Linked DNA regions of Lonchura striata. The protein of the gene in region 3 interacts with the protein of the main gene of each other region in a pairwise test. Links are inferred from orthologs where the notes say so. Each region holds a gene or a part of one and is shown on either strand. Other genes may lie near its edges.

The links.
Region 1: the proteins of LNX1 (region 3) and DDX17 interact in binary tests that used the Homo sapiens proteins (3 or more experiments, as listed by UniProt). The two-hybrid records come from large-scale screens. The link is inferred for Lonchura striata from reciprocal best matches to the Homo sapiens genes LNX1 and DDX17.
Region 2: the proteins of LNX1 (region 3) and FHL3 interact in a two-hybrid assay, tested with the Homo sapiens proteins (2 studies listed by BioGRID and IntAct). The link is inferred for Lonchura striata from reciprocal best matches to the Homo sapiens genes LNX1 and FHL3.
Region 4: the proteins of LNX1 (region 3) and CA8 interact in binary tests that used the Homo sapiens proteins (3 or more experiments, as listed by UniProt). The two-hybrid records come from large-scale screens. The link is inferred for Lonchura striata from reciprocal best matches to the Homo sapiens genes LNX1 and CA8.

What each region holds. Positions count from the first base shown.
Region 1 is NC_134607.1:23,793,619-23,801,046, forward strand, and holds the start of DDX17 (putative ATP-dependent RNA helicase DDX17), read right to left. Parts: upstream 3,021-7,428; 5' UTR 2,735-3,020; coding exon 2,691-2,734; intron 1-2,690. Other genes in the region: DMC1 (meiotic recombination protein DMC1/LIM15 homolog), read right to left, coding at 5,792-5,861, 6,308-6,424, 6,972-7,032. UniProt on the Homo sapiens protein: As an RNA helicase, unwinds RNA and alters RNA structures through ATP binding and hydrolysis.
Region 2 is NC_134628.1:4,832,455-4,839,807, forward strand, and holds the start of FHL3 (four and a half LIM domains protein 3), read right to left. Parts: upstream 3,021-7,353; 5' UTR 2,897-3,020; coding exon 2,890-2,896; intron 1-2,889. UniProt on the Homo sapiens protein: Recruited by SOX15 to FOXK1 promoters where it acts as a transcriptional coactivator of FOXK1.
Region 3 is NC_134606.1:26,799,710-26,807,150, forward strand, and holds the start of LNX1 (E3 ubiquitin-protein ligase LNX), read right to left. Parts: upstream 3,023-7,441; 5' UTR 2,926-3,022; intron 1-2,925.
Region 4 is NC_134603.1:37,466,759-37,474,352, reverse strand, and holds the start of CA8 (carbonic anhydrase-related protein), read right to left. Parts: upstream 3,022-7,594; 5' UTR 2,975-3,021; coding exon 2,896-2,974; intron 2,623-2,895; coding exon 2,431-2,622; intron 1-2,430. UniProt on the Homo sapiens protein: Does not have a carbonic anhydrase catalytic activity.

The DNA.
Region 1 (7,428 bases), on a different chromosome or scaffold from region 3:
TGCATTAGGCTTCTTCCCTTTCCTATAAATTGCTCCTGTCTTTTCACCTGTGTGTGTATCAGATCCCCAAGACAACCTGTAAAGTCATCAAGTTTTCTCTTATGAAAATGACTGTGAAACACAACTTCAAAAATGCATTTAAGTATTGTGTTTCCTTTCAGGACAAAGAAAAAAAAAAAAAAAAAAGGCGCAGACTTTCATTTACAGGGACATCCACCTTTAGTGATGATGTTTGTTACCAATCATGCTAAACTGAGGTCAAAATGTCAAAAATGTCAGTACCCAAGCAGTTCCTACAAAACCCATAAACCCCAAACTCACTCAAGTCCACTAGAGGGTCAAAGGGTTGATGAGTTTCCTTAGAAAAGGAAACATACGACTGGGCTGCCAGCAAGACTGGACACTGCAAAAGCTAAAAGCTGGGTACTATGAACACATGCTCTAAAGCTATCCAGAGGGAAAAAAAAACTACATATTCTACACAGAAGTCACATAGTTTCAGTTCTCCACTCTAACACACAATATGCCTGAATCCTGACCTGAAAGGAAAAGGAAGGAACCCTACAGCAGCCCTTGAACCCTGACTCTGTGGGGGTTCAGTTGCTAAACTGGCAGTAACTGACACTTCACATTCTGACTCCAAGTAAAAAGAGATTCCAACTCAAATTAAACTGACTTAAATCTAGTATTTCCCTGGTTTGCCAACAGCCCTCTTTTCAAAGGTAAATTCAGGGTGGCTCAAAACTTTCTTCCCTAATATTACTACTGCCATCACTTCTGGGACAGAACTGAGTAAATCTGACACATTCCAGAGGAAAACATAATTTTCCTAAGAAGTCACGTACAGCTCATTCCTGACAAGAGAAAACTAGAACCCTTTTATGTGATTAGACTACAAAAGAAGTGGTGGTAAACTTTCATAAGGTACTGAACCAGCACACTGGGAGGCCCAATATTTTATACAGGTTATTTATGAAGTAAGATAGTTGTTAGTGGTTACAAATATTTTCACAACTTAAAGGGATGTATGTAACAAATTGAATCCTAATGTATTAAAGGTTCCAGGATAATATGCAAAAAAAAAAAAAAAAAAAAAAAAAAAAAAAAAAAAAAAAAAAAAAAAAAGAAAAAAAAAATTTTTCATGCAAATATCCACAGACTTCACAAAGAATCATGGAAGCACTTCTTTTACTCATGCAAAACCCCTGACCTAAAAGAGAAGCAGCCACTATAATTAAAGACTTTACAGAAAATGAAATAACACTAATTTTAAGGCACATCAAGTGTTGTGGCAATGCTTTGGCCAGTGTTCTATAAGTAACTGTATATAAATCTGCATACTCAAACTCACTCACTAAACTCCAAAAACAGCTGTGGTCTGATCTATCTCAGACTTGCCAAAGCGCTTACTCCAATGTCCTTGTGTTAAACTGAGCTGGAAATCTCTTAGCAGAAAAACACCAGAACCCTCCTCTCTGTGAAAAAAAAAAAGACCGAAAGTATCTTTTAATTTCAGGATGTTAAATGTCGGTGTAAGATAAAGCAATGATCCAACTATCTCCCTCCACAGCTGACAAGAAACCGAATGTCAAAGTGCATTGCAATGTATAGCAAAATATTCTTTAATCTGCCAGTGGCAAGGGAAAACACGAGGAAAAGGAAGTGGGAGAGAAAAAAAAAGGAAAAAAATGGAGAGAAGACTCATTAATTGAGATCTAGCTTACTATATAGCAGAACCCACATTATATTTTTTTGCTAAACCTTGAGAACTACTCATGATCTGAAAATGCCACTCTCAGAAATTAGTTCTAACTTTCTCTTTAAAAAGGCCTGGCACGAATGCCTTATTACTGTCAACGCTTAAAAAGCTCGAAACTCACTCTAGTTACGCAGTATAACACCATTGTGTTTACTGCTGTCATTGTCAAAAGAAAAAAAATCACATCAAATCAAACCTGCAAAAGCCTTTTGCAAGCCAAACCTTCTTTAAATAACAGATTCAAGAGTATCAAGCACTAGGCCTTTACAGAACCACACAAACAATTGCTGTAGCACTACGTAAACTTGGCGAGTGTGGTCCAGCACCATGGCTCACCGAGATCACCCGCTCGAGTGCCCAAGTCCCCCAAAGGGCAGCGTTTCCAATCCCATTTCCTATCACGGTAAACCCAGGAGCGCAGCTGAGACAGATCTTCCCCCCTCTGCCATCTTTCCAGTAAGTCCAGAAGGAGCAATGACAACCAGAAGGGCAGACAGAAGGACAACCAGCCCTGCCAGGGCCACCGAGACCTTCGTGGCTCGCAGCGGGGAGGGTGCCACGGGTCCCGCCGGGTAAATAAGGCGGCTGGCAGAAAATAATTAAGGGGGCAGGGTGGATGCAGGCCTTAAAATTGCAAGCAAGGCTCAGAACTAGTTACACATGGACGGTGGAAAAGCTAAATAAAACAAATAATTTAAAAACCCGTAAAACGCTCAAAACCCACCACCTCGCCTTGGGGACAGATAAGCCTCCAACTACCCCCGCCCCCACACGAGAATCCAGGGGGGCAAATCTCCACAGATGGAATTTTAGCTCCCCCAAAACCGCCACTCCAACACACCCCCCGAACCCCTCGGCCTACCCCGCCCCCAACGCAGGCCTTCGGCTTCCCCCACCGCCCCCCGCCGTGCCGACCCCCCCTCCCCCTTACCCGCCGCGGTCTCGGTCGCGGCCCCGGTCCCCGAAGCCTCTCATCGCCCCCGGAGGGGTGGGTGAGAGGCAGCGGAACGCCGGCCGTGGGGACGGCGAGGGACTGGGGGTACGGGGCGAGGGTCCAGCCAGGGGCGGCTGCGCCTCGGAGGCCTCGCTTTGCGCCACCTCGCCTCTTTGGTGGGACACAAAAGGAGAAGAGGTGGTCAGAGGGTCCGAGACCCGCTGGGCGTCAGCGGCCGGAACGGCGGGGCTCTCGGTCGGCTCCAGGGCCCGGGTAGTGTGGCGACACCAGCGTCTTCTTGCTCCGCGCTCCCGGCACAAAATGGCCGCCGCCGCCCCGGCCCGCTCCGCTTACGTTACGGGCAGCCTGGCGCTGCGCAAACTCCGGCCCTCCGAAACACCTACGCCTATTCTCGGAACTCAACTACGCACTAAGCGCGCTCGGCGAAACACCGCCCCGTGCAGTAGCAGGCGGGCTACGAAAGGTGCGTAACGTTCTTTACTTAGAGCCGGGGCCCCGCGTGAGGAAGGCGGAGGGGAGGAGTAACGCTATTCCCCAAAGTCAGCTGCGTAAGGAGCTCTCCGTAACCCCTTCTGCAGGGCAGAGAATACCTGGGCCGAGGCGCACGTTACGTAAGTGCACGGCGTACGTAAGGTGCGTAACTGAGGGTAGCGTAGGGCGGGAAGAGCCCGGTGCGCTTGGCGTAGGATTCTTACGCGGACCGTGCAGGCTGGGCCGGAGGGTTACGCTGGATTCGCAGACGGTTTGAAGAATACGGCCCGTCGCCTTCTCGCCCACGGGCTCCGCCGAGGTGGCGGCGGGGTTGAGGACACGATGATGGGACAATGGCGGAACAATAATGGGACGCTGGGCGACGGGGCGGGAGCGGCCCTTTGGACCTCTGTGGCGGCTCCGGCGGCCGAGGTTATTCCCTGTAAGATTAGCAGGGGGATCTCGGCGCGGCGCGGGGGCAGGAGCAGAGTGACAGCAGCCATGATGTTTGCTGTCGCCTGAGCGCCGGCAGGCCGCGGCAGAATTCCCCACATGAGCCAGAGACTCCTCGCTGAAAGGCAGAATCATCCACGAGGCGATTACGTGGCACAGACCATAAATCCTTTTGTGTTGTGTATGCGGTATTGCCAAGTCAGTGTGTCCTGGCACAAGGAGATGGTGGGGTTAGCCCAGCCAAACCCAGCCCTGGCCCACACCGTGTTTCACTATCAGCAGTAATTTCTGGGCTGACAGGTTATCGAAAGCTGCTTATACTGGCAGAAGGGAAAAACAGTCCCCTTTACTTTCAGACCCATGGATAAAAATAACAGCCTAGAACGACACAGAAATTACCATTTTAGTTTCACATCGTATATACATATGTATGTATGTATCACATGTTTGAGAAAGCAAAAAGCAATCTGAGTGCTTAAAATAAAATGCAAGAGAAACCTGGGTCTTTTAAGTGGGTGGCACAGAGTCAAGTGACACTGCATGCTCTCACTGACACTGGGTACTTGGCCGCTGGATAAAAATGCCTAGTGTGGGAAAGCCTGGCACATGCAATGGACTGGACATTGCATTAAATGGCAATGACTGATCCATTCCTGGCGCTATCAGATGAAGCAGCTTCCCAGCCTACAGCTCTCTAGACTTTTCTCCACTGTGAAAAACAGTGCTCTACCTCAGGAAAAATATCAACTATCTGTTAAGAAACCACTTAAGGAAGGCAAGCCCTCTAGGTCTGTCACAAGGAAAAGCCTGGTTAAAATGTCAGGCTTCTTTTCCATTAATTTCTGGTCATTGCTACCTTTTTACTTGATGTTATCTTAACTTGCATTTGGTAACCTAAACAAAAACATTATTTTGCCAGTGAGGACAATTTCTTTGACCAGATACCAAAATTAGAATCACTGTAATTACCAGAGGACAAAGCAAGACTTCTCCATTATATCCATGTGTGTGTATGTATGTTTAATTATAATTATTATTATTATTGTTTAATTTATAGAAAAGCAAGGGATTCCATGAGCATTGGTGATATTGCAAAAGGAATTGTTATTTTGGCCCCCAATGCCCTGTTTGCATCTTTATTCCCAGTTTCTTCTTTTGCCCCCTGTGACCTACATCTCTGGCTACTTCAGAGCTGTGCCTGTGCTGCTGGCTCCCTCAGCAAGCTGAATCTTAAGTGCCTTTTCCTTGGTAAAAGTGCTGGTGCCAGCCTCTCCTATTTAGCCACTGCATTTGTTTTATTCTTTTTAATAGTAACAATATTTACTATTACTTAATACTAATCTTTAATAGTCTTACTTATCCTAGAAGAATGACAAGTCAATTATATCAAGTTTATTTCTTTAGAGAACTAGAAAAAGGTTTTAATGTATTGGGTTTTTTTTTATAATATATTTTTCTCATGAAAGATCAATGAGATTTTTGAGAGTGGAGTTTAATGCGAAGCACCCAAACATAGTCAGACTTCTGTTCTACTTCATAGTCTTTATTTTTAACTTTAATAAGAACAGGTTTAAAACATTCTGTCCAAAAAGTAGAAAATGCTAAATAAAAACATGAACATTATTTAGTCAAGATAAAAATGTTTAAAAACATATTCTCAAAACTACTTGTTCCTCTACAGTACGTGAAAATCTGTCAAGTTATTGAGCTGTTGTTCCTCCCACTGCCTTTTCCATCTATATATGTGAATTTTATAACTGAGATTATTCTAGTTCTGTTGCATTTCACACTATAAATTCTACCACTTAGACACTCTCTTTGAAATAAATTAAGAAAGAGTATATTCACTCCCATGTGAAAGGACAGGTTTGATTTTCACAAAAGATAGGAAAAGGATTCTAAGAACAATTCACAATCTAATGGCTTAAATATTTGCATGCCAAAAGTTCAATTGAAAAACAAAAATCCTACATGACCAAAATTTTAGTTCAGTAAAACTGAACTGTACAAAATCTATCCCAGTGTTCTCCCAAAATATCTTAAATATCTCCCAAAAGCTACAAATGCAGCCATAGGTAGTTGTCAAGCTTTCACAAATCTTCATCACAGCTTCCCTGCTGGTTTTTTAGTACATTTACATTACATTTTTTTACCTATTCTTTGGCATCCCCAATCCCTCCAGCAGTTATTGCAAATGTGGCTTCATTTTCAGGCATCTCAGGGCTGGGCGAAAAAGATACAAGAAACTTGTGGGTTTCTCCATATAAAATGCAGTTGTGAAACAGTCTCCAAAATGCTGTGGGTGTGAGCGACCTGGAATACCTCAGTGCCTTTATACCTATGTGCAAACTGTAGAATCTGATCGATATCATCAGGATCAGAAAATGCGAAATTATTGTGTCAGGAAAACTTAGGAATTTAAAATGTCCAGAATCTTCCTGCCAAGGGACTACCAGTCCTACCAAAGCTTCATTAAGAGCTAAGCATCTAGTAGGATTTATGATGAAAGATTATGTTATTTAACGTATGCAAGGTGCAAGACAACTTTAATCAGTTGTTTAATCTGTTAATTAGTTTGTCCTTTCAGATTTTCTCCCAATGTACCATCCAGACAGTTTCAATACCTTGAACTTTGTCACCTTCTCTCCCGTGAGGGAAAGGTGGTTTACCTGTCATAGATCTTTGCAATCCGCAGCTCCCCTCTCCCTTTCCTCAAACTGATCCTGGTAGTCGAAGCATGAGCAAGGATGTGGCCCCCGATGGGCTTTTTTGGGTCTGCCTGAAAGCTGAATTAGCAAGAAAATTGTGGTGATTCACTGTGCAAATTCCAGAGGTTAAAACTGTGCTTAACTGTCAGACTGAGCCCTATTCAACCCAGTAACAAATAATCAATAGGGAAATACTTTAGAAACTTGACTTTTGCATACTTGTCTCAAGATAATATGTTCATATGTTCAATGCTGGCATAATTTTCCTGTCATTACATATAAGAGGCTCCAGAAATACACACCTTAAATATCACATATGAGCTGCTCCAAAGGAAAATGTGGTGCTTTTTCAATATTTTTTATAGCTCATTTTCTTTGTTTAAGTCACAGTGAAATCACACCACCATACCAGGCAGCAGATAAACACAAAAAAGCTCATTCCAAAAACTGAGAGAAACTTCCAAAGGTCATTTATGTATTAATTCCTAATATCAGAGGAAACAATGACCAAACTGATGTTTCATTTCAGTGTCTCTTGCTCCTTACAATCTCAGTTCTCATTTCTGTTAAATACATAATACAAAGTACAGGATTTTTTTTTTAAGAGAGAGAAAAAGTATTTTACGTCATAGTTGCTCCTGGGTCAGCAGTCATCTGGTTGGTCACAAACACAGCCACATTATATTCTGCAAGAGAAGACATTTCAAAGAAAGTAGACTTCATCCAATTAGAATTCCAAAATATTCTCTCATCCATGGTAAAAGCAAGGTTTCTGCTGAAGCACTCCAAATTTTAAGTGAACGAGAAGAAAATATTCTTTATGACTGATGGCTGCAGTTAATCACGACACAGCCTAATTTGCTCTTGCATGGCTTCAACTGTAATACACCAAAATTGAGCACTTTTTACAATTCCACTGAACAAGTCTTTCTCAGTTTCCATCTATTCTCTGCTGGCTCCCTGCCCTCAGCTCTCTCTTCTTCCCTTTCTCTGTTTGAATTTTTTTTTTTTTTTACATCAGGAAAAAAACATTTATTAATTCCTCATCAACATTTCTGAGACATTCCAAAGAGAAGGAACTC
Region 2 (7,353 bases), on a different chromosome or scaffold from region 3:
TTAAAACCATGCCAGGAGAGATTGTGGCTTGTCTCTGAGGAGGCTGCAGAGAAAAGAGAGGCTCCTCGTGACAGGTACCTTTCCTGCCACGTGCAGTGACAAGCAGGGGACACTGCAGCCGGGCACAGCTGCCACTGGGCAGGGGTTGGCTGAGGGCAGCAGCTGCACACATGGTCACAGTGGCCATAAGAGGAAGAAAGATGCTGAAGCCAAGTTTCAGGGAATGTGACTGATCACAGGAGCTTTGGTGTGATCGGAGGAGCCCAGGGAAAGGGCTGCTCCTGTCAGCTCTTAAAAAGGAGCAAGGGACAGGTGTGCAATTACTCTCAATAAGCATGTTGTGAGCATTCAATCTAGCATTGAAAGTTTAATTTTGGACTGAATTGGTTTATGCCCGTGTAACCCACAGCCATATCAATGCCTCACTGCTTATCCAACTTAACAATCCAAGGATTCCTGGCAATCGTGCTTTCAAGATCTCTTTGCCCCACATAATAAAGGTCATATGCAGTACAACAGAATTCAAACGTGAAAGCGTGACAGGAAATGACTAACTGCACACTGAGGCCAATGTACCTTCATCTTGGATCAGCTCAGCACACAAGAATCTTGCAACTCAAACAGACATCACAGCCTATATGCAGAAAAAATAATCTGACTGCTCTAGTTGCTACTTCTTGGGGCCTGTGCATCTCAATGTAGATATTACATGTATATAATGTAATTCCGCTCTATTTCCCTGAAGTTCTCACAACTGAATCCTTACACTGTAGTTTGCACTTTTCATTCCCTTAGAGACAGCTCCTTTTAAATTGAGGATGAAGCCATTATTATTTCTGAGTTGATACATAATTTAAGTTAGTATTTACAAAGCTTTTTGCAGTCCATAATAAAAGATCCTTACGAGATCATGTCTCTGTTTTGCCCAAAAAGGCAATCAAGGGACTGCCTCAAGCACTGGACACAGCCCTAGTGATTGTGTGTTTTGCTCACGTGCTGAAAACCAACCTGTACAATTTGAGCCCAGTCCCCTATTCTCTGTTTCCCCAACAAGCCTGAAAGCTCTTTTGCTGATTAAGGCTCTGCTCAGCTTCATGTTTCTTTTCAATAAACAAAACAACTTTGACTTCCAGTAGCAGAAAAAGGCACATATCCCAGACATGTTTTATTTAATGCACGCCTATTACTTAAAGGGCAAAGTGAATTTTTTCACCAAATTTGGTCAAAATACTCCCTCTTCCGATTTGATTCTTTGCCTCTCAAACACAAGTATTTGCAGTTGGTTTCTTGCATATAAACAGATCTATTGATGGAGAGAGGTAACGTGCATCTGAGTTTTGTGCCTTTTGGGGCTCTCCAAAATCCGCAGAGGGAAGAGAAAGCCAGGAAGGTGACAGGAGACACTTTTGCACTCCCTCTCTGCCACAGATCCCCGAGGCCTCCCCACCTGTGCTGGCTCTTAGCCCAAGAACACGGACAGACTCCCTGTAAAGTGCTTTTTACAGCTGCTGGTGTCCCTTGCAAGCAAAGGCAATGCCAGGCCTGCAGCACGAAGCATGCAAGCAGCTTCTAAATCTGGGGGAGGACTGAGTCCTGGCAAAAGACAAATTGTCTCATGTTACCACCCTGGGAACAGCTTGATGGTTCTCCCAAACAAAAACTGGGATCATTTGTTGCCCGGGAGATGCTGTGTGTGCCAGCTGCAGCCCTCCCCAAACAGGGCAGCGCTCTCAAGGGCAGCACAGCCGAGCAAAGGGGACACATGGGATGGCTGAGAGGGGAAGAGAACACCTCCTAGGCAGTGTAGAAGTGAAATGAATATAACATGGGCCAGTTCAATAAGGCCTAACTAGTTTTAGCTCCTTCAGCTCCCTTCTGTGACTGAAGGCTTCTCTGCCAGGTAATCTGGCCAGAACGTGTCATTTACTTTCACGAGCTGGTTCTCTTCAAACCATTCTCACTGACACCTTTAAAATTATTCTTCAGTACTGCAAAATTTAAATAATAGAAGCCATCAGTTGCAATTGTTACGTATTTTGCATAACATCTCTACAAAATAACTCCTTGCAAGCGCTAAAAGGAAATTTGCAAGATGCAACATGCGCTCCTGTTTCTGCTGTGCAGAGATAATCTTTGGTGGCACCCATAAAAGGGAAAACTGTGCCACGTCCAAAAGATTATATGGAAACAGGTATTGTAAGGAACACAAGTGCCCACAAAGTGTATGAATGCCTTTATATCATGCAGCTACACATGGAGTTTCCACTGGACATGTCAATCTCAGAATTGGAGCTGCTGCTGGCACGCAGCTCAGTAAAAATGTGGACTGCCTAAAATCTCAGAAAGAGAGGAAAAGCTGTTTATTTACAGAAAAAAAATCCAACATGAACAGATAAGAAGTAACAATATCAAGAGTCCTTGATCCAGGTCCGTGGCTCCTTTACAGAACATCATTCTTTGATTCCCATCTGAGATTTACAAGGGCACCTACATGAAGCACGTCTCTCAGAAGTTAAAAAGGATCAGAAAGAACAGAATTTTCACTAACAGGCTCCTCTCTTGGCAACTTTCAGCTGAAGAACAAGAAGAGCTGCTGTCTCAGCCCTAGAAGCAGCAGATGTGAAGCAATGCCTGTTTCTTTGCTGCAGGGAAGGTGCTCCACACTCACTGATGATGATGGAAGCAGAAGCAACGTGCACTCTGACTATTGGGAAAAAGTTCCCAAAGCTGTTCACATGCCCAAGCAACCCAAGGATCAAGGGCTTCACTGCAATGCCAACAACCCTTCCCTCTGTTCTGGAGCTGATCAGAACAAGAGTGCTCCATTTACAAGCCATTTGTCCCAAACTGGCAAACCCTGGAAATAAAAGCTCAGCCCAATTCGCTTACCTTGCATTGCTGGAAGCAGTGGAGCAGCAGGGACCCAGCTGTGCCAAGGTGCTCCTCCAGCCCCTCACCTCAGTCAGCTACAGCAGGTGCCACCAGCCAGACACTCTCACCAGTAAATCATCACTTCACCAGCAAACACTCAAGTGCTTGTCCAGCAACAAAAGCACTCACATCATAAACCAAGGGTGACATCAGCACAGGGATTGTGTTTCCTACAGGGGTTTAAATGTCATTACTTGTGACTAGAAATTGGACACTTGCATTAAAAGTTACTCTAAATTTTCACAAGAGACGTGATTCCAGTTTTGTGTAGACATATTTTACTTCTAATGCCTTTATATTGCTGAACATCATGATGACAGGAAAAAAAAAAACAAAAACAAAAGAGAAGAGAAGAGAAGAAGCAAAACTCCTAACATAAAGTGAAAAACTCATCATCATTATCAGCCTGACTTACCAAGTCAGGTGCTAACAAGGTGAGCAGCAGAGAGCAGCAGAACCTGGATTGTCACTTGAAAGGGTCAGTGTGGCTCACACAGCCTGATCTAATAATTATTCAAGGTTTCTACATTGCCCTCTTCCATTCTTATTCAAAGTTCTGCTCTACATATTCCAAAATTAAAACTCAAAGCTATCAAGGACCTGAAAGCATTATTTAATCATGCTGTAGTTATTACTGTTTCACACAGCAGGAAGCACAACACAGTCCGTGCACCTTCACCAACCTGACGTGCAGTTATGATTTCCCACACTCAGCTCTGGGCTCTCCAAAAGCAACACATCCAACACTTCTACACATGCACACCGGGCCAGATTTAATCTTTCTGTGAGTTATATGGTGTTTGCTTAGGGTTGAGAAATAGCAGAAATAAAACTTTTCTTGGCTGAGATAGATGCAAAACACGCTGTGCACTTTTTGCTTTTAATGACTCTTGGTGAGTACCACTACCAGTCTATGTATTCCAGAATGTTCTGAGTTAGGCACTCAGCAGTTTTCTTAATGTCAACTGTTCACTGAGTTAAAGGGAGCCACTGAAATGCCTTTAGATTTAGATGATGCCCTTTCTTTTTGAAAATGTCCATGTGCCAAGAGGCAGATGAGCATAAATAATCCAAATTTAAGGAAACAAACTAAAGATTTACCTGTGAAGCAGTTTAGCTCCCCGATTCTCTACTGCCAGTAACACAAATGTGATGATCCAGTGCAAGATCATTAATGCAAAAAAGTCCTCAGTTTCCAGAGCTGACACCCCACACCTCTCACTGGATTGTGGCTTCCTCAATTCCCTAACAGCTGTCAGCAGCAAAAACATTATTTACCCTTGTATTACCCACAGGTCAGGGAGTAATGCTATCTCCCTCCTGGGATTTGCACCTCAGAGAGTTCTGGCACTAGGCATGGCCTGTAGAACTAAAAATGGAACCAAGACCCAAGTCCCATCTTTCTTCTCCTCCTGAGATGCAGCACATATCCCTGTCAGTGGAAACTGTGACACCCACCAACGTGGGGTACAGACCTGCATCTACAGATTGCACAACCCTGACCCTGGGAGAAGCAAGAGAAAAGGGAGGAGGAGAAGGAAGAGAGGGACATGGTCTTTAAGGTGCCTTCCAACCCTGTAGCAGACAGACAAAGTGCTGTGCTGTTCCAGAGTCCAGATCTCCCAACCAACACCATGCCTCTGCTAGTTGCCCTTGCTATTCAAACTTGGGGTTCAGCAGGGAGCAGCTGAGCTGGCAGGCAGAACTGGGATAGGGCAGCAGCAGGAAGTTATGCACCAGTTCCAAATGGGTTCGTTTTTAAGAAAGGAAAAAGCCAGTTTTCCTTAAATGAGGGTGCTGGAATTCCAAGGTGAGGTCAAAAGCCTGGCAGAAATCAGGAGTTTAGGCTGGTACTGGGGCTCATGATGGTGACAAATGCAGTCCTTGCACTCAGGGGCAGCTTAGGACCCATTGATTTTTTGTTGTCTTCCCATCCTGAGCAATATCCAGGAACAGTGCCATCAGGTGTGGACCTCAGAGAGGAATTTCTGTCTTCAACTGTGCTGAAGGTTAGGCCTTTCAGATACATATTTTATATTATTCCCTTTATTTTGTTTCATTAGAAGAACTACAAAAAGACATTTTTCACAAGAAGCCTGAGTGTACATGCAGGTTGTGTGTGATCTGCAACCACACAGTCCTGAACCATGACAGAAATTACCTGTGATACACTCACATGGAGGAAATCTTGTGTGCTTGGATCATTCAAGAAATAAGGCTGCTTTACAGATACAGGAACAACACATGGCCAGAATGTGTTCTAAATCGGTAAGATACAGGCCAAAAAATCAACTGCTAATTGTTTTTACAATTTGTATTTTATATTAAAAAACCCCCTCAAGACCTTAAGAGGCAGAGCTGAGCCTAGAAAGGATTTTTATGGTTAAACCTGAAAGCAGGGATCTAGGACAGAACTAGTCCACTACATTTCAAACTTTGAGCCTGGGTTCTGCCTCAAGCAGCTGGGATTATTTTTCCAGTTAAGCAAATTCCTGCTTCTAAAACCCACTCTGATATTTAAATAAATTTGGAGAAGATGCTGAGTAGTCACTCTGCTTCACAGATAACAAATCAGAACTGCATTGTTTGATGGATTTCTAAGAGAACACTTGAAATTTGGGCAAACAAATTTAAAATATCAAGGTCATATTTACATTCCAGGGTAATAATTAAATACTTAATATCTTGTGGTTCCACTATTTTAGGTTTTTCTACACACCAAAATATTTAGTCATGTGAAAACCATCTGTAGCAGCTGGAAGACATTCATTTGGCATGCCAAGATTAATTAGTTTAAAAATACATAAATAAAGCATTCATTTTATTTCCAAAAAGCTGTTGTTCTTGGTTCTCTTAGGGTGTTGGTGATTAATGCTTATGGAAGGTTCTCAAAAAGAGGTATCAGATGCCAGTTTCACAAATATCTGTTAAGTAAAACAAGGCCTGTGTTTAGGTTAATGCTCTTCTGGACTAAGCCCAGTCATTATTCACAGCAATACAAAAACTAGCTTGCAAACACTTCAATCCCTATTTTTATTCTTTCCCCTATGCTCTCAAATCCACAATGCTAAAATGTGCTTTTAAAAATTGATGAAAAGAAATTTCTCTTCAGGACTGGGGTTCAGATACCCGTGTTTAAGAATTACAAACCTAAGTGCCCAAGTATGTCTTTTTTCTTGAAGAAGTTCCTGCATAATCTCCATAGAGCTTTTCAAAGTCAAGTAAACAAGACACACAGCTGAAACTGTAAAAAGGGTTGAATTTGGCTTAGTATCCATAGGGATCACTTATCTGGCCAACAGCTTGCAAAGGGTTATTTCTTGGCTCATCATTTTTGTTTTGCTGGAAGATGTTGAGGTTTTAGTGAAGTTTCTGCAGAGCGTGCAGCAGCATTCAACATTTTTTGCTCAGCTAATGAGTTAAGTCATCACAGCTCTCCAATGGCTTGAAGATTATGGGTGTAGGAAAAGGGAATGCTCAGAAAGGGGAACTTTTGAGCAGTCACCACTAAACTGCGGTTAAAACAGACACCAATGACTCTATTCAGCTCCCAAACCTCAGACAGTTTCCATTTTCTCAATAACAAAGCATTTTTGTGGAATGAGGTAATGGCCTCCATCTGCCAGGTCGACATCTCCACTAAGATTTCTCAAGAGTGTGGCTGACCAGGGCTGGCCAGCAGAGCCAGAGGCAGGAGAGTCCCTTCAGCCTGGGCAACACAGGGCAAAACTGCCATGGGACAGACGTGGAGAGGAGCCTCTGTGGCACCATCTCACAAACTCTCCTGGGAGTTTGATTCACAAGCAGCCTGGAGCAAGCTCCACACACTGCCCAGCTGAAGAGTCAAAAGGTCAGGAAAAGGGTTGAGATTTGTCATTATGAATGGCCAGGGACAGGCAGGAGGGAGCAGAATGGGTGCCATAAGTCCAACAGCCCATCGTGGGTGGCTCATGAGCAGAGAGTGTGTGATTTAAAGCAAAATCAGGCACACACTGCCAGATGCACAGTGCAAAGGGCAGGGCAGACATCCTGCTCCCTGAGGACAGCACTGCCTGTGGGACTGGCCACTCAAGCTGCCATACACCCCCCACCTGAAATACAAAATATCTGAGGCAGAGCATTTACAGCCTCTGAACACAGCCTGGGAGAGGGTCTGGGTTTGTTCTTTCCTTATTTCTTGAATTTAGCAGCTTATGTCTTGCCCTCTCAGTTCCAGGGATGCTGAGCACTCAATCATTCTTTTGATTTCTGGCAAAGCCAGCTCAGTTCTTCTGAAAAGCAGTCCTTCATTTAGCTCCAGATGAAGATTCCAGCTCCTGTCAGGACCCCCTCATCTGACTCTTGTCTCCCTGTGGATGGCCAGTCACTAAGCTCCCTTGCAATTTTGAGACTCTCAGCTCCAGGTTCAATTCCCCCCATCTG
Region 3 (7,441 bases):
ACTGGAAGTGATTGCTATTCCTATCCATAACTGCTGCCTTCCACTTTTTGTTCCAGAGTGCTGCAGCACTTCACAACTGCTCAGCACTGTGGTGAGGCAGGTTAGAGCTGCAAGGACTAGACACAGCAAAGCTATGTGTGACAGCCTTGCCAGCCACAGTGCAGGATCACCCTGTGTCCTCAAACAAGTGCTGCCTTAGCAGGAACACTGAGAGAGTGAGCACTTAGTCCATTTGGAGCGAACTGGCTATTTCAGACAACACTTGCCCCTTTTTAAGCAGCTGTGGGTCTGCAAAGTGTTCAAGACCTCATTCTGTTGTTTAGACATGGTGCCTGATTCCCATTGCCCACACTGCCTGGGAACACTTCTGAAATTCCAACTCAGACCGACAAGTTCCAGCTTCCAAGCCTCCATCTTCTCCACCACATGCTTTCTCAAGATCCAACAAATGCCTGACCCTACTTGTCTTGGGAGCATTTACTGCAGCAGACACAAACAGAGCTGTCTGTAAGTGGAACACTTCCTCTGGGATTGCGTCCTCCCTCCATGCTGAGTCTCACGGGCCAGGCTCAGTCACTTCTTGCTTGGGCAGGCTCACAGCAAGGAGAGTCCCACCAGAACCATGTACACAGCAAGGCTGGTGGAGGAACCTCATGCTCTGCAGTGACAGTATTGCAGCAAAATGCATCTGGCAGAAGGAGACAACTTGGAAGAAACTAAGGTGTGAAGAATTGAGTGTTGGCAGCCTTAATAAGCTGGATTCCCAAAATGAACTGGAAGGATTTGGCAGAACTCAAATTACATTTTTAAACAGTTACTGTAAGTGTAAATGTTATTTTATCCACCCCCTTGAACTGGATCATCCTGGCCAGCCACCAGGCAACCACACCCATGCTGTTACTTTTACAGCTGCAGAGATGGGGGTCAAGATTGTCTATATTCTATGTAACTCTAAACCTATTATTAAAGTAACTCATTTGCAAATAAATCATCCTTGTTATGAAGCTTCAAGTAAAAAGAATAAAATAAGAGCTTGTGAGCTGGAGATCCTTTGCTGAGTGCAAATCCTCCTCCCTTCCCCGAACACATTTAAACTGTTAACAGGAATTTGGTCACCAAGGGAGCTCCTTATGTCATTCAAATCTGGGGAAGTTGACATGGGAATCATTAAAGAAAAAGAAACAATAACAAAAATACCCCAAAACTAATAATGAGGTTTATCAAGTAATGGATCTTCACAGGAAAACAGAAAAGATATTGCATCACTCAAAGGTCTAACACCGAGCCAGAACATCTCTGAGAACATGATTTTTAATTCATTCAGCATTACTTTTATCAGATCATGAGAATGTAAGCCTGCTCCTAGGTGAGTCAGTATAAAGCCCCACTAACTTAGAGGGAGGTAAGATCTCACCTACTGTGGAAGGTTTGAAAGCTTTCACATGATTCCTGAGAGGAAACAAGTAGCTTGTTGTCTGTAGCCTTTTACATGATCCAGCTCTAAACACTTAGGGGTCCAGCTCTGCATTTGTTCAGCACCTCACACCAGCCTGCTCAAAAGTTGTCTTTTTCTGGTGGCACTTTTTGAGTTTTTTAAATTGTAACCTTTTGTCTTCTTACAGGGCCAGGTTTGAATGTTTTTTTTCTGTATTTTTAGGAATATCACCAAAACTTTTGAATGACAGGCCAGAGGTATAACACATTTTCTTTTAGTCGTAAGGTAAAAAAATTTAGGTTTGTTTACTTCTGCAAGTCTACACCTGGTTATTCTTCCACTACTTTCTACCATGATTCTGTAAGATACTGGATATTCCTGAGAACCACAAACAAATTTAATGTTAATCAAACTTGCTCTTCAATATTCATGATATCTTTAAACAAAACAAATAAAGGAATAAGTTGTTATTAAGCATAATGTTATTTTGTGCTTGCTAAAATATCCACAAATATACATAAAGATTAGTCAGCTTTCATGTGATGAATTAAAGCCACAGGATGAGCTTTAAATTGATACCACATCCATAAAAATATTATTGTGAAACTGAAACAGCCAGAGCCAGGCTCTTGTCTTACTTTATGGTATAGAGAATTCTGAAAGAAATTTACACAGAACATATTCCCTGATTTTGAGTAACCATTCCTTATGTAGTGTGCCTTCTCTGGCCCTGTATTTTAGGGCCTCTAGCACTAAAATACAGGGCCAGAGGTCTAGCCACTCGCTGTTGTGGGTATAGACCAGATAGACCTTGAGTATCTAAGCTGAAATATTCTGTATATTTTATTTCCACAACTATTATATACTTATATTTAGACACAATTTTTGTAATAACTAAAAAATACTAGAAAAGAATTGATTAAATTTGCTTACATTCTCTACCATCTACAAAAGCATAAGGTTCATTATGGATGTTTCTAAAGGTCCTGTGCTTCTTATCAATATGTAAATTTAGATTGATTTTTTCTACAGGAAGATTATATTTTCAGTATTTTTCCATTAGTTTCAACTAACATTTTAACACCAAAACATTGTATTTTTTAATACTGGCTATATCTGGAAATCATTATGTTTTCTGAATCCCAGACTAAAGAGGGTCTAGTACAAGCAGCAAATGTATTTTTGAATGCTACATATTAAGCCCCCCCCACTTTTTTTCTGCCCATGGTCTACGTGATTTGGATCTCGAGTCCCTTAAGACAGTGCCCAGATCTTGCAAAGTGCCTTTCCCAAAGGAACACTGTGAGTTCCTGCTCAGAAATCTTTTAGCAGCTTATAGGAGAGAAACAATAAGCCATCTGTCATGCAAAGTCTGTCCTGTTACAACCAAAGGGAGAACTGAATGAAAAAAATAGGTACGCACAGAGCGAACTGGTAGTGACGCATTGTTTTCCTCCACCTTCCCTGCTCCTTCCCTCTGCGGGACCTACCTCAGACGCCTACGGAGCCCAACGGTGGGAGCCACCTGTGAGGAGACCATCCCCACCACAGCTGTCCTGCCCCGTTACTCCTGCAGCACTGTCCACCCTTCATCTGGAAATTACCTCATCCTTCATCAACACGTGTCTAGTTGTTAGAGGCCTGGGAACCCGGCACTGGTGCTCCGTGGTTTTGCCAGGGAATAGCCTCATTTTATGAGTCTCAGGATAAAATAATCCAGTAGTACCTGCAGAGTTGGTACTCACTGCTCCTCCCCCATTTTTAGGTCTTTAAATATGTGAAAATCAAGTGACACACTAGTTTTACACTTCAGAGAGCAGCATGCCAGGCAAAGAACACACATGAGATTTTGTGGGGGGAAAAGTATCAATGGTCTCTTATTCACTCATCTTCCAAAAAACAGCACCACCAAAACAAAGGCACAACTGTTCCCACAGGATAAAGGGAGCATTGATAGTGCTCCTAAAAACAAGCTAGTGCACTCTTGACATTCCTGTCTTGTTGAATCTTCACTAAACTGCTACAACTGCTCGATTTCAATTTGTCATGATCACCAACAACTAAAACTACCGTAAGAGCAAAGGAAGTGAATGCTTGTGAAATGCACGTCTCCATGAGCAAGCAAAAGTGCCTAATGAGGTATTAGAAGAACAGCAGGACAAATATAAAGTAGAAATTTGAAGAAAATTATCTATTGTATCTGACTAATACTTTTTCAGTAATATTACTTTTTGGTCTTAACGAAAGTCCAAAGCACTGTGTCCAACATTTAAGTTACTGATGCACACACAAAGGCAGAATTGTCACAAGAAGTCACATGGCAGCAAGTACCAGACAGGACAAACACTGCTCAGGAAAAATTAGAAACAAAAGTGAAAAAAAAAATTTTAAAATATTTGCTATTTTACACCTTCCTGTAATTTTGAGAAGGCTCTAAATATGAGGGCAAGGAGCGACACATGTGACTGAATATCTGAGTGGTTACAATTCTGCTAAAAAAAACTATAGTTATTTTTCAAAGTTTTCTGTAAACCAAAAGAAATTATTTCATTCAGGAACATGAAATATTTATGATCAAATTTGCAAAGCATTTTGAACCAAATATAAAAATTATGTAAATCTTTAGTTATATTTTAGTTATATTAGTTATATATTAGTTATATTTATGATATTTTAAAGGTGATACAGAGGCTTCTACAATTATAACCTGCCTTCCCCCAAAATAAATAATTTGCTTTTTTCCAAAACATATTAAAATTCTGCCTAGGTTCATGAAGAAATTCTGAACTAAAACATTTCACTCAACCCTTACTCTCTCAATCTTGTTTAGACTGAGATTTTTTAATCTAAGGGAAGAGCACTGGTATAGTCTTGTTGTGTTATCGGCCAACATTGTACAGAAAAATGCATGTTGTTTTCCAAAAAAATAACTGTAACAAGCACTCAGGGAAAGCACTATCACTATATGAAATATGAAGGGTGAAAAAAGAGAGATAGTTTTTTCCTGATCTGCTGGAATGCTGCAAACTGAGATGTATAGGGCTGCTTTCCAAGAACTCAGAAGAACACTGCCAAGTTTATCCCATGGAGCTGAAACACCCCAGCATGATAAATATGACAGTAATTTTGTTGTCTTTATTGAGAGGACTGCCTGTGAGCTTATAGAAAAATTTGTATTGAGCTAAGGTTCATCCTGCCTGCAGTTATTAAAGCAAAATTAATTGGGTTTTATTTACACTAACCTACGAGAAGTATACTTCCAATTTTAGCTTTCAGGGCCAGGAACAGGTTTCCATACAGTTATGCTGAATCTGCTCTGCATGAAAAATGTGAACAGAAGGGAAGGATGTGTCCCTCTAAAGAAGGACCCAAAGAACAGCACAGCAATAAAACATTTTGAAAGAAAAAATAATTTCTAAAATATGGAATTGGAGTCAATATGTAAAAACACAACAGCAAGCTTCAACAGAGGTGAAAAATTGCAATTGATTTCAGACCCTGAAAGATGATAATAGCATTCCACATAGACACAGGTCATCATCACAGGACAAATAGTGGTGACCCCTAGAGAGATGCAGAATATTAAATGTCAAGATTAATTATTAGTAAATAATATTTAGTGATTTACTTTTTTAAAAATAAACTCCAGACTACGCTTCCAAGTGGCTCTTTTTATTTCACTTGTGCATCACCTTGTATTACCTATAATAGTTTGTACTTATATATTTCTTTTCAATTAATTAAATAAAAAAGGACAGATGTTTCTTATTTTGGTCTATATGCATGACAACATAGAAATCTGGCACTGACTCATTCTTGAAGTAGATTTACCACATGCCCCAGTCACAAAACAGCAACACACAGTATAATGTTTCTGGAAAGAATCTTGCTGCAATAAAGTGGATCACAGAAAGTTTGCAATCTCTGAATTCTATCCAGAATATAAAACACCAAAAATTCCCATGATTAAGTATTTGAAACTGGAACCAACTCACAAGCCAGGGTGGAGGCGAAGAGGAGGGGGTGGAAGTTAGTTGTACTTTGCAGGAAAATGCATTCCTGTTCAAAAATTACTACAAACTGCTGACCACAACAAGTTTTACAATCACACAGAACATCTTTTCCAGTCTGTGAAATATATTCAGTGAACACACTATTTGAAAAAAATGTTAATAAATTCATAAATCAAAAGGACTAGCACAAGTATCCAATTTGATATGCCTTACTACACAGGTGAGAAGGCTTCCCTGAATGAATGCCAGTTTGAACTAAACACATCCATTTTAGTTACATTTACTAACAAATCAACTTGTGGTTTCAAAAACTCTCAGTGATGAAGAATGCACTATAAAACTCAGTAGTTTAACACCTAGTTAACAGCCTGCTATATGCCACAGGATGTGTGTCAAGGCCTGAGGGTTTTATTTTCCAGGGAAATGCTTATAATCTTCAGGTTCCCTTCATCCCTCTCTTCAAATGCTGAACAGCTTGGTCAGAGTCCTTCTGGACACACACACACCTTCATTCCCAGACCAAAATTTCTCTCACACCAATGACATCTTTGCCCTAGACTGAAACCCCAGGAGCATTTCCTGAACCCATATTCAAAAAGCCCCATTAGTGCTTCTGGCCACACTGCCACTTTGGGAGCACATGAGTAAATAAATAAAACAGCAGTATCCCTTGTCTCTTTTCCAGTTGTTGTTCATAAGGTCCAGCATGTTTCTTGCACATTCACAGATGACTTTTCCCAAGAGACAAGGAGCTGAGGAACACACCATTCTGTCCAGGGCAGCATCTGTGCTGACAAAACAACATCTGCTCCCACCTTGCTTGACCAAATGACCCATCAAGGTACCCTGGACAAGTCACCCAAAACCTTGGCAGCTCATTTTATCTCACTTTAAAGATAGAACTTGGGGATGCACAGCAGGGACAAGGACAGTGGAGTGACTTGTGCAGACAAGCTCAGGAAGCTGAGGGCAAAATTCAACCTGTCCCTCCATCCAATTAAGTGACCAAGTCAAGGCAGCTTGAAGTGTTCAGGATGCCACTGCCTGGAGGGGTGACTGGCTAACAGCTGGTGCTGACTGGCAGGATGCTGCCCCACCTGTAAGGCTTCAAGGAGATGCTTCTGGTTCTTCCTTCAGGGGAAAAATCTAGCGATTCAGGAGTGGGGCACCACCTCCTGTGGCTGCTCCAAGCACAGCTCTGCCCAAGAAGCAGGAGCACCAAGTTTCACAGGCTACTGGGAAGTTCCACATGCCCAGTCACTAAATAGAAACTTTCTTCTGAATCTGATTTTACCCTCAACCCAGTAACAAGACTTTCAGGAAACTTGTGTTAGGAATGAGAAAGAAATTATCAAACAGTTAAAAAAAATCATAAATGTAGAGAAAGAGAATAATGATAGAGGGAGAGGAAGTCAGTATTTTTACATGGTTTCTGCATAGTGGATCTGCTGCAGGGAAGCTGCCAGGAATATTTAATTTTCCCCTTTTTTTAAACATCTTCCTTTTCGTTTTTTTTAATGTAGAGTGACAGCTTTTTGGTTATTTGTAATTATATATATATTTATATATACATACATATATATATATATTCTGTAATTATATGTACTTTTGTAATTTGTTTTATATAAAGCTATTTTGCATATTACAGTCAAAGTCCACTAAGATACAAATGAATAGAAGCATTTTAGACACGCTTCAAATCCCCCAGACTTCCTACTACAGAAATAAAGGAAACCAGCAATATCAACAACCACAACAAAGCTACAACAGGATGTAGGACGACATTTCCTAAAAGTCAAGAATCATCTTCAGGATCAGTGCAACACTTTGCCCATTCTTCATCTGTGGCAGGCTCCAGAGGAGATGGTGAGAGCAAATGCACGTCCATGGGGCTGTTCATTATCAAACATACAGAATGCTAATGTGAACACCTTGCATTTATTCATACTTTGCCTTTAAGTACTTTTGCCAGCATTAATAATAATGCTACTAC
Region 4 (7,594 bases), on a different chromosome or scaffold from region 3:
ATACTCCTTTAATAATTCTTCACAACTAATCTAACAGTCTTTAGAGTTTCCAAAATGAAATATCCTAAATATAATTATAGATCCAGATTTGCTTCTTAACCTTGCTTTATCTATATTCCATCTATACCTATATCCCCTAAAGGGAAAATCTACAAAGCCAGTGAACACTTGAGAAATAAACCAATTGAAGTATTTAAGAAATCTGGACAAACAAAAAGAATCATGATACTCAATTAGTTCTTAATTAAGACAATAATAATTAGAAGAATAAAAATAATAATCTCAATCAGGAAAATTGAGCCTTTTCTGTTTTAAAACATTTCTCCGAGAAAAACTGTAACTAGAAGAAGAAATGTTTTTTATAAGATGTATTTCTGGATCTCCAGGAGCTTCAAAGAGTTTATTTCCAAGGCTTCAGTTAGGACACTGATCCCATTATAGAACTATTTCATAGTTGGTCATGATTCATCCACCTAATGCACCACACGTATTCCACTATCAAAATGAAAGCAGCTGTGAAAATGTCTGCAATTAAATAATGAGCAGGATTTGGGAATTCTATATGGACTGCATGTCTTGAATTAAAGGATAAAAACATTCACCAGTAATGACAAATTTATTTTTAATATGTATCTTAATCAGTTTATGTTTTTCCATAAAGAACTTTTTCTTTGACTGCTAGCATTACAGTAGATGAGGATCTCTTGCACATTAATTGGACAGAGTTTCAAAAGCATCCAGTGCTCAATAGTTCCCAACAAAATAATCTGACTAAATGGATATGTCATCAGAGATCTCCTGCGAGGAAAAGAAACTGTAGGAGTTTCTGCAGTCCCTGAAAAATGGCCAGAATACTAGGCCAGGTTCAATCAGAGCTTATTAACTCTTTTCTCCTCTTGGTAGGTTTAATAAATGCCATCTTCTCCCTCCCAAATTATTCCCAGTTTACAAAGGAAAAAAGGGAAACTACGTAACATTATATTTAAGGAAAAGCTGAAACTAAACCAAGAGTTCCTAAATCATAATTCCATACGTCTGTCATAAACTTTTTCTCTATTTCACATTTTCTTATAATTCAAGAGACATCTGTCTGGCATCACATTGCATTAAAGTGTAAAAGAAGTCTTTCCTTTTTTCTAATTTTCTTAATGGTTTTGCAAAGGTGTGTTGATCCCATCTTATTAATTATCACTACTAAGCTAGAAACTGCCCTTGGGAAAGGTAGGATGGACTGAGTTGCATTTTGGGATGTGAATGATGAGGTACTTGTGGTCACTCTCACTTCCTCCACAGAAGAATTCAAGAACTCCTGATCCTGCAAGGAGAACCTTATCCCTTGGGAAAAGAGCTCCGCTTCTGATGAAGGCAGTAAAACTGATGGGAAGTGCAACATTTCTTTTATTGCAAATCTGCAAAATTCCATGTAAAGAAACTTTCTGTGTTGCAAAAATGCATGGAAATTATCATAGAAAGGAAATTATAAAGGAAATAATTATTTCTGAGATAACAGACCTCTCCTTTTTAAAAAACTGTGTGAAACTGAACTGGCTCCCTCACTTAGCACAGCTGTAGTTCCCAGTACTACCGACTTCTCAGAAGGAAACAAGAAGTTGGAATGTCTCATGGTTTGACAATGTTCAGCTGTTTAAATGCCCCCAAAGGGCTGTTACTAGCTAAGACTGGTTAGAATAACATAGAGGCTCTTCCAAACACATGGTAAGAACTGCTGCAGTGCTGGAAAGAAAAATTGACTTTTTCCTCCCTACTTTCTTGTCTCCTTCATAGAGAATAATTTACCCAGATGAAAAGTCTGGATAAGATATAGCAATTTCATTCATGTTGGAATTGTTTCTTTTATTATTTTATTTTAAATCATATTTGATGAGTGACACCAAAAATGTCATCCTTTAAGAAATGAGGACTGCATTCTACTTGGTCCTCATCAATATTGTGAGCATGTATAACTGGTGTATCTATCTTAAGCTGTCCAGTTCTGGAGGTAGTATTCAGAACCCACTCAAGTTAATGAGAAAAAGCACTTTTAACTTACATGGTCTTTGAACCATGAACAAATCTTGCCAGCTGTATGGAACAGTTTGGCACTACACTGTAGCGGTAGTCTGTACTGCTTCTGAGTGCAGACAGATGTTAATGCCAGTGAATTGGATACCACCACTCCAGGAAGAAATTCTGGACGTGCTTTGAAGCAATCTCACTGACCATCCAGTCTGGCATCGAAATCTGCAACACTTGCTCCCCTTCCTACCAAAGTCAACAGCAACACTCTCACTGAGCATAGTCCATGCTGAATGGGCACAACTGCTCTCAGTTGGAAAAGGCTGCTTTTCCTAAACTCCAGGACATGAGTACAGTGAGTCTTCGGGCAACACAAGTTTTAGCCGGGAAAATTAAGGCCATGTTTCAGCATACCTGATTTTGACTTCAGGGCAATTTGAATCGAATGCCCGTCGTTGATCACTTCGCAGTCACGACACACCACGTAGTTCGGTGACAAACGCACTTCCAGGAGCGAGGGGTCATATTTGGCTTCTCTCGAGTTCAAGTTAATGGGCGACTGGTACTCGCCGTTAGCATCGGGGAAAATCAGCCCCCACTCCACTCCTGAGGCACAAGAGAAAAGCGGTCACGGGGCAGCCGGCGCCCCGGCTGCGGTCAGACAGACCCCGCCTGCCCCCGGGGCTGCTCGGCCGGACCGGCGGCTCCGCGGCCGCCGCCCCGCGCTGCCTCCGCCCGCGGGGATGGACCTGCTGCGGGACGGCCTGGGAGCGAGCCCCGCTGCGCTCCGTGCTCCGCCGCTGAAATCCCCACACCGCCTCCTCCTCCCCCGGCAGCGGACAAAGTTTCTCCCCGGCGGAGTCGCCGCCCGCTCCTCACCTTCCTCGTAGCCCCACTCCGGAGCCTCCTCGCGGCGCGGCCGGGGCTCGGCGCCCTCGATCAGGCTCCTGTCAGCCATGGGCGGGCTGCGCCGAGTGCGAGCGTGTGCGGGGCGAGCCGGGCTGGCGGCGCTCGCTGCGCGCCTGGAGCTCCCGCACTCCGCCCCCGGGGCAGGGGCAGGGCCGGGGGCGGCCACCGGGAGCCCCGGGAGCCGGGCGCTGTCCCGGCGGCGCGGCGACAGGGAGGTGAGGCGGCAGCGGGCGTCCCCGGCGGGACGCTGCTCCTGAGCCTCCCTGCGTCCTCCTCGCCGTCCTCCGCAGCCCTCCCTAGCCCGGGGGGTTGGGTGTCTCCGCAGCTCCCGCTGCCCCTCTAGCTGGGCACAGGAGCGCTGTGCACCCAGCGGCACCCCGGGAGAGCAACTTCAACAAGGCGAAGGGCAAAGCCCGGCCACTGGGGAGGAACAATCCAGACGCCGGGACAGGTGGGGAACTACCTGACTGGAATGCAGTTTGGCATTGGGTGAGTGAGTCCCACCCACTCTGGGTCCTGGTGAGCATCAAGTTAGACATGAGCTAGCAGTGTGCCCTTGCCACAAAGAAGAATGATACCTTGGGCTGCATTAGGCAAAGCGATTCCAACAAGTCGAGGGAGGTGATCCTGCTCCTCTGCTCAGCACGGGTGAGGACACACCTGGGGTGCTCGGTTCAGATCTGGGCTGCTCCAGTACAGAGACGTGAACATACTGGAGAGAGTCCAACAAATGGTCATGACCATGGTTTAGGTGCTGGACCATCCCTTCCATGAGGAAAGGCTGAAAGATCTGGGACTGTTCAGCTGAGAAACAGGCAGGCTTGGGGATCTCACAAATAGCTGAAGGGAAAATGCAAAGAGGGTAAAGCCAGGCTCCTCTCCGTGGGGCCCAGTAACATGACCAGTGGTTATGGGCACAAATTGAAACACAGATTTTTTTGAACATCAGGAAACAATTTTTACTGTGAGAATGACTAAGCCCTGGCACAGGCTGCCCCAGGAGGTTGGGGAGTCTCCATCCATGAAGGTATTAATGTGAACACAGTCCTTGTTGTGGGCAGCCCTGCTTGAGCAGGGGATTTGAACAAGATGATGCCCAGAAGTTCCTTCCAACATCAGCCATTCTGTGAATCTGTGTTTACTCCTCACTACTGAGCACTGTGTCCCTTCTGTGGAGGAACAGAAACCCTCAGTGAGGATAAGAAAGCTATCAAATAAGGAAGGGATCCCACTTCTGCCCTTTCTGTCCTAAAGGGAGAAGTGTGGCATCAATTTCTACTGCAAATTATTCAAAAATGAAGGGTTTGAGGAAACTCTCTCCCCAAGATGAAGATGCCTCAGTTCAAGGTTATGAAAGGACTCCACATTCTCCTTTGAAAACAGCCGTGTATGGAACTAGAGAATATTCATTCTGTCAGGGGAAAAAAGGACAGAAGGGACCTCTGTTATAGAGATCTCTTCTAGGCAGTGGCCCAAAAACTTGCATCAGTGACAGGAAGGGAAACGGGAATGTAGTACTGGCAGTCTGCAATCCCTGACAGCAATCAGAAAAGGTAACAGAGGCAGTCAAATAGCATTGCTATAATGGTAAGAAGTGCCCTTTGCTTACCATCCTAGTCACTTAAAGTCAGTGACCAGACCTCCTTGAATTCTGGTATCCCAAGATGATAACATCTTGATCCTGTGCTGTTGATCCACAAGGTTTGATCTCAGTGTGAAGCTCGTTGTGCTTCAGTGATCCTCAACTCAGCAGAGTACCTGTGATTCCTGTGCAACACTGACAGGGGAGCAGAAATGATCATCAGTGTAAGTGTGAGATGAAAAAAGAAGGACTGAGATGAAACTTCATTAATGAAGCAAGAGAGTACTGGTTCATGAGCTGCATGCAAGGTGAAAAGAAAATAGGGCAAAAGAAGTGGAATTTACTGGGTTGGGATTTTTCAAGAGCAGAGAAGAAACACAGATTTCCTTCTGCAGTATCATCCTACCCAAATTACAAGATGGTGCAGTTTACTGAGGAAAAAAACCCAAACAGACATTTTTCATATATTGAGCACCTGACAACAGTACAAAGAGAAAACTCAGATATTTTTAACATGCATTTTAGTCACATAAGGTATCATGTTGTATATGCATACCCATCTCACATAGCCAACTGGCTTTATTAAGTTGTTAAGTTTTATAATCTACTCACTTCTAAAACACACACCAGCTGCTTCTATTAATGTAGAATCCTTTGAATCATTGTTCAACCACATGGGGAAAAAACAAACATCACCAAAAACTCTGGTCCATCTGACTGGAAATTCATTTTCTTCTAAAAAGGGAGTCTTATATTTTGGAAACAAACCAAATAGTCCTAGGAGGCTGGGTTCATTCCCTTAGTCCTTGAAATACAGTATTTCATTCATTCATATTCTCTATTAAGTCTTTTCCTGCAGTAACCTTCCTGTGGGATGTCTGTTCTAGAATTACATGCTTATGAGGTGCAACTCTATCATACCTGTGAGTTCCTGTCTTGCAATAAATACTTTTCATGGCTTTGCCATATATTTCTTGCCCTTCCTTTTAACCTTTCAATTCTTTCCATATTCCTCTGCAAAATTAGGCATAGCAGGTAAATCCTTGCTGAATAGTTGACATATCTTTATTCCCATATGTCTGCTGAGTAGTTTTTGTGCAAATATTCTGTTTCTTCCTTAGTATCTGTCAAGCATAGATTAGAGAATAAAAAGATTAAATTCCACTGAAGATTCCTGGGATTTCTTTAATGGTGAAGTATGTAAGTAACAAAAGAAGTCGCTTCTCCATAAGGAAATGGAGCACGGGACTGAGCCCTCATATTAAACTCCAGTGATAAATGTGAATAGTGACCTTACAAAAATGGATAAAGAATAATGTGGATATTGGCTTCTGCACAAACCAACTCATTCATTTATGGACCCAGCTTCAAATAAAAGGGCTGAAACAATCAGATGGAGATAGTGGCATGAGCTAAGATTTGTTCAAAATCAGTGGGATTTTACCTCCTTTAATAATGCAAGTGTAAAATTATTTGTGTATAAGCTCCCAATAGTTGAATTTACAATGAAAATATACTAAATATATAACTATAATACATCTAAATGCACACTTTATTCTGCAAAAGTTCATTACCCATGATGTTTGCCACATTGGCTCAACACACTGAAAAATCTAGACATATATAGTTATGGCCCCCAAGCTAATATTAAATCGTTGAGCAAAAAGTAGAAGAAGCTCAGCCAACATGAACTTCATAAGTGACATAACACCTCATCAACAGAAGCGGGAGCAAGAGATCTCTCTCCTGAATCCTGGTTCACCCTTTCATTCTGTGGAACATGCTGACTTCTTGTTTAACTGGGATTAATGATCACAGCCTTTGATAGTACCAGGAATAAAAAGCTCAGGCACAGATCCAGGGCTTAATAGTTCCTCTTTGAACTCACACAACAGTAGTTCAGAAGCAGTGTAGTCTCTGACATTCCTTTTGTCAAACAAGAAATGGCATTTTGAAACATGGTTAGAATAATACGTAATCCTGGTGAGATACCAAGCAACTATTCTTCTGTTTTCTATATCTAGATATTATTTTTTGTTCTACATTGTTTTTTTCTTTTTTCAGAAAACACATCTTCCCCAAACACCTTTAAAGGTATATACTAGGAAAAGTGGGTCTGAACCAATATTCACCATCTGAATGCTGAAAAATTTGTATGCGACAATTCTCATTAATGACTAGCAACATTTTTTTTAAAAGTTATATGTCCACAACTTTACTTACTGCTTTCATCATTCTGAAAAGGTGGAGTCCAGTGCAGAGAACTGTACAGATTACTGAGAAATCTATAGGAAAAAAGAAAAGCAGAATTATATACAAGTTATTTTAGACTGTGCATTCCTACCTGCATGATTCTTTGCAACCACAGAACTGACAGTTATTTCCTTGGTGCAAGGGATGAGAAATTCAGACTCTGGGATGATAATATTTCCTGTATTATCCACTTTTTTCTTTATTATGTTGCTGCCAACATACAGTAGGTGAGAGCATGCAGGATTTAATATTTTGATAAGGAGGGAATTGTTTTATGGCATATTAGAGCATTCCATTTGGGGTAATTTAGAGTCTATTTATGCTTCTGCAAGCCAGATCTCTGTTCTTGCCAAGGTGTCCTGAAAGAAAAGGCCTTGTCCATACAGCAAGGCAGCTGAAGGGACCTGAAGCATCTAGTTTTTCCAGTAAATAGGGCTTCCTATATTTCTTCCTGTGTTGACTATGAGGTTGAGCAGCAAATATCCACCACGTGGTCTTGTTTCTATCTTTATTTCATGCCAGATTACACTCTCAAAGAACATGAATTCTTTTCCAAGTTTAGAAGTGTAAGCACAGAGTTTCTGCATTTAAACTTTAAAGCACAAGCTTTTATGTACCAATACCAAAAATCTCTCTGCACATATTAAAAGGAACTAGTTCATTAGAAGGAATAATATTCCAGTATTTCTGGAATTATAATATTTGCCTATTTTTATTTTCCTCATCTGTGGTAATGCATTACAGAACGGAAAATTTGGTTAGGTAGTTCAAACAGTCCAAGATGAAAAGGTAAAAGGAGACTATTTCCAATAAAGAGGCCATTTATAGCAAAAA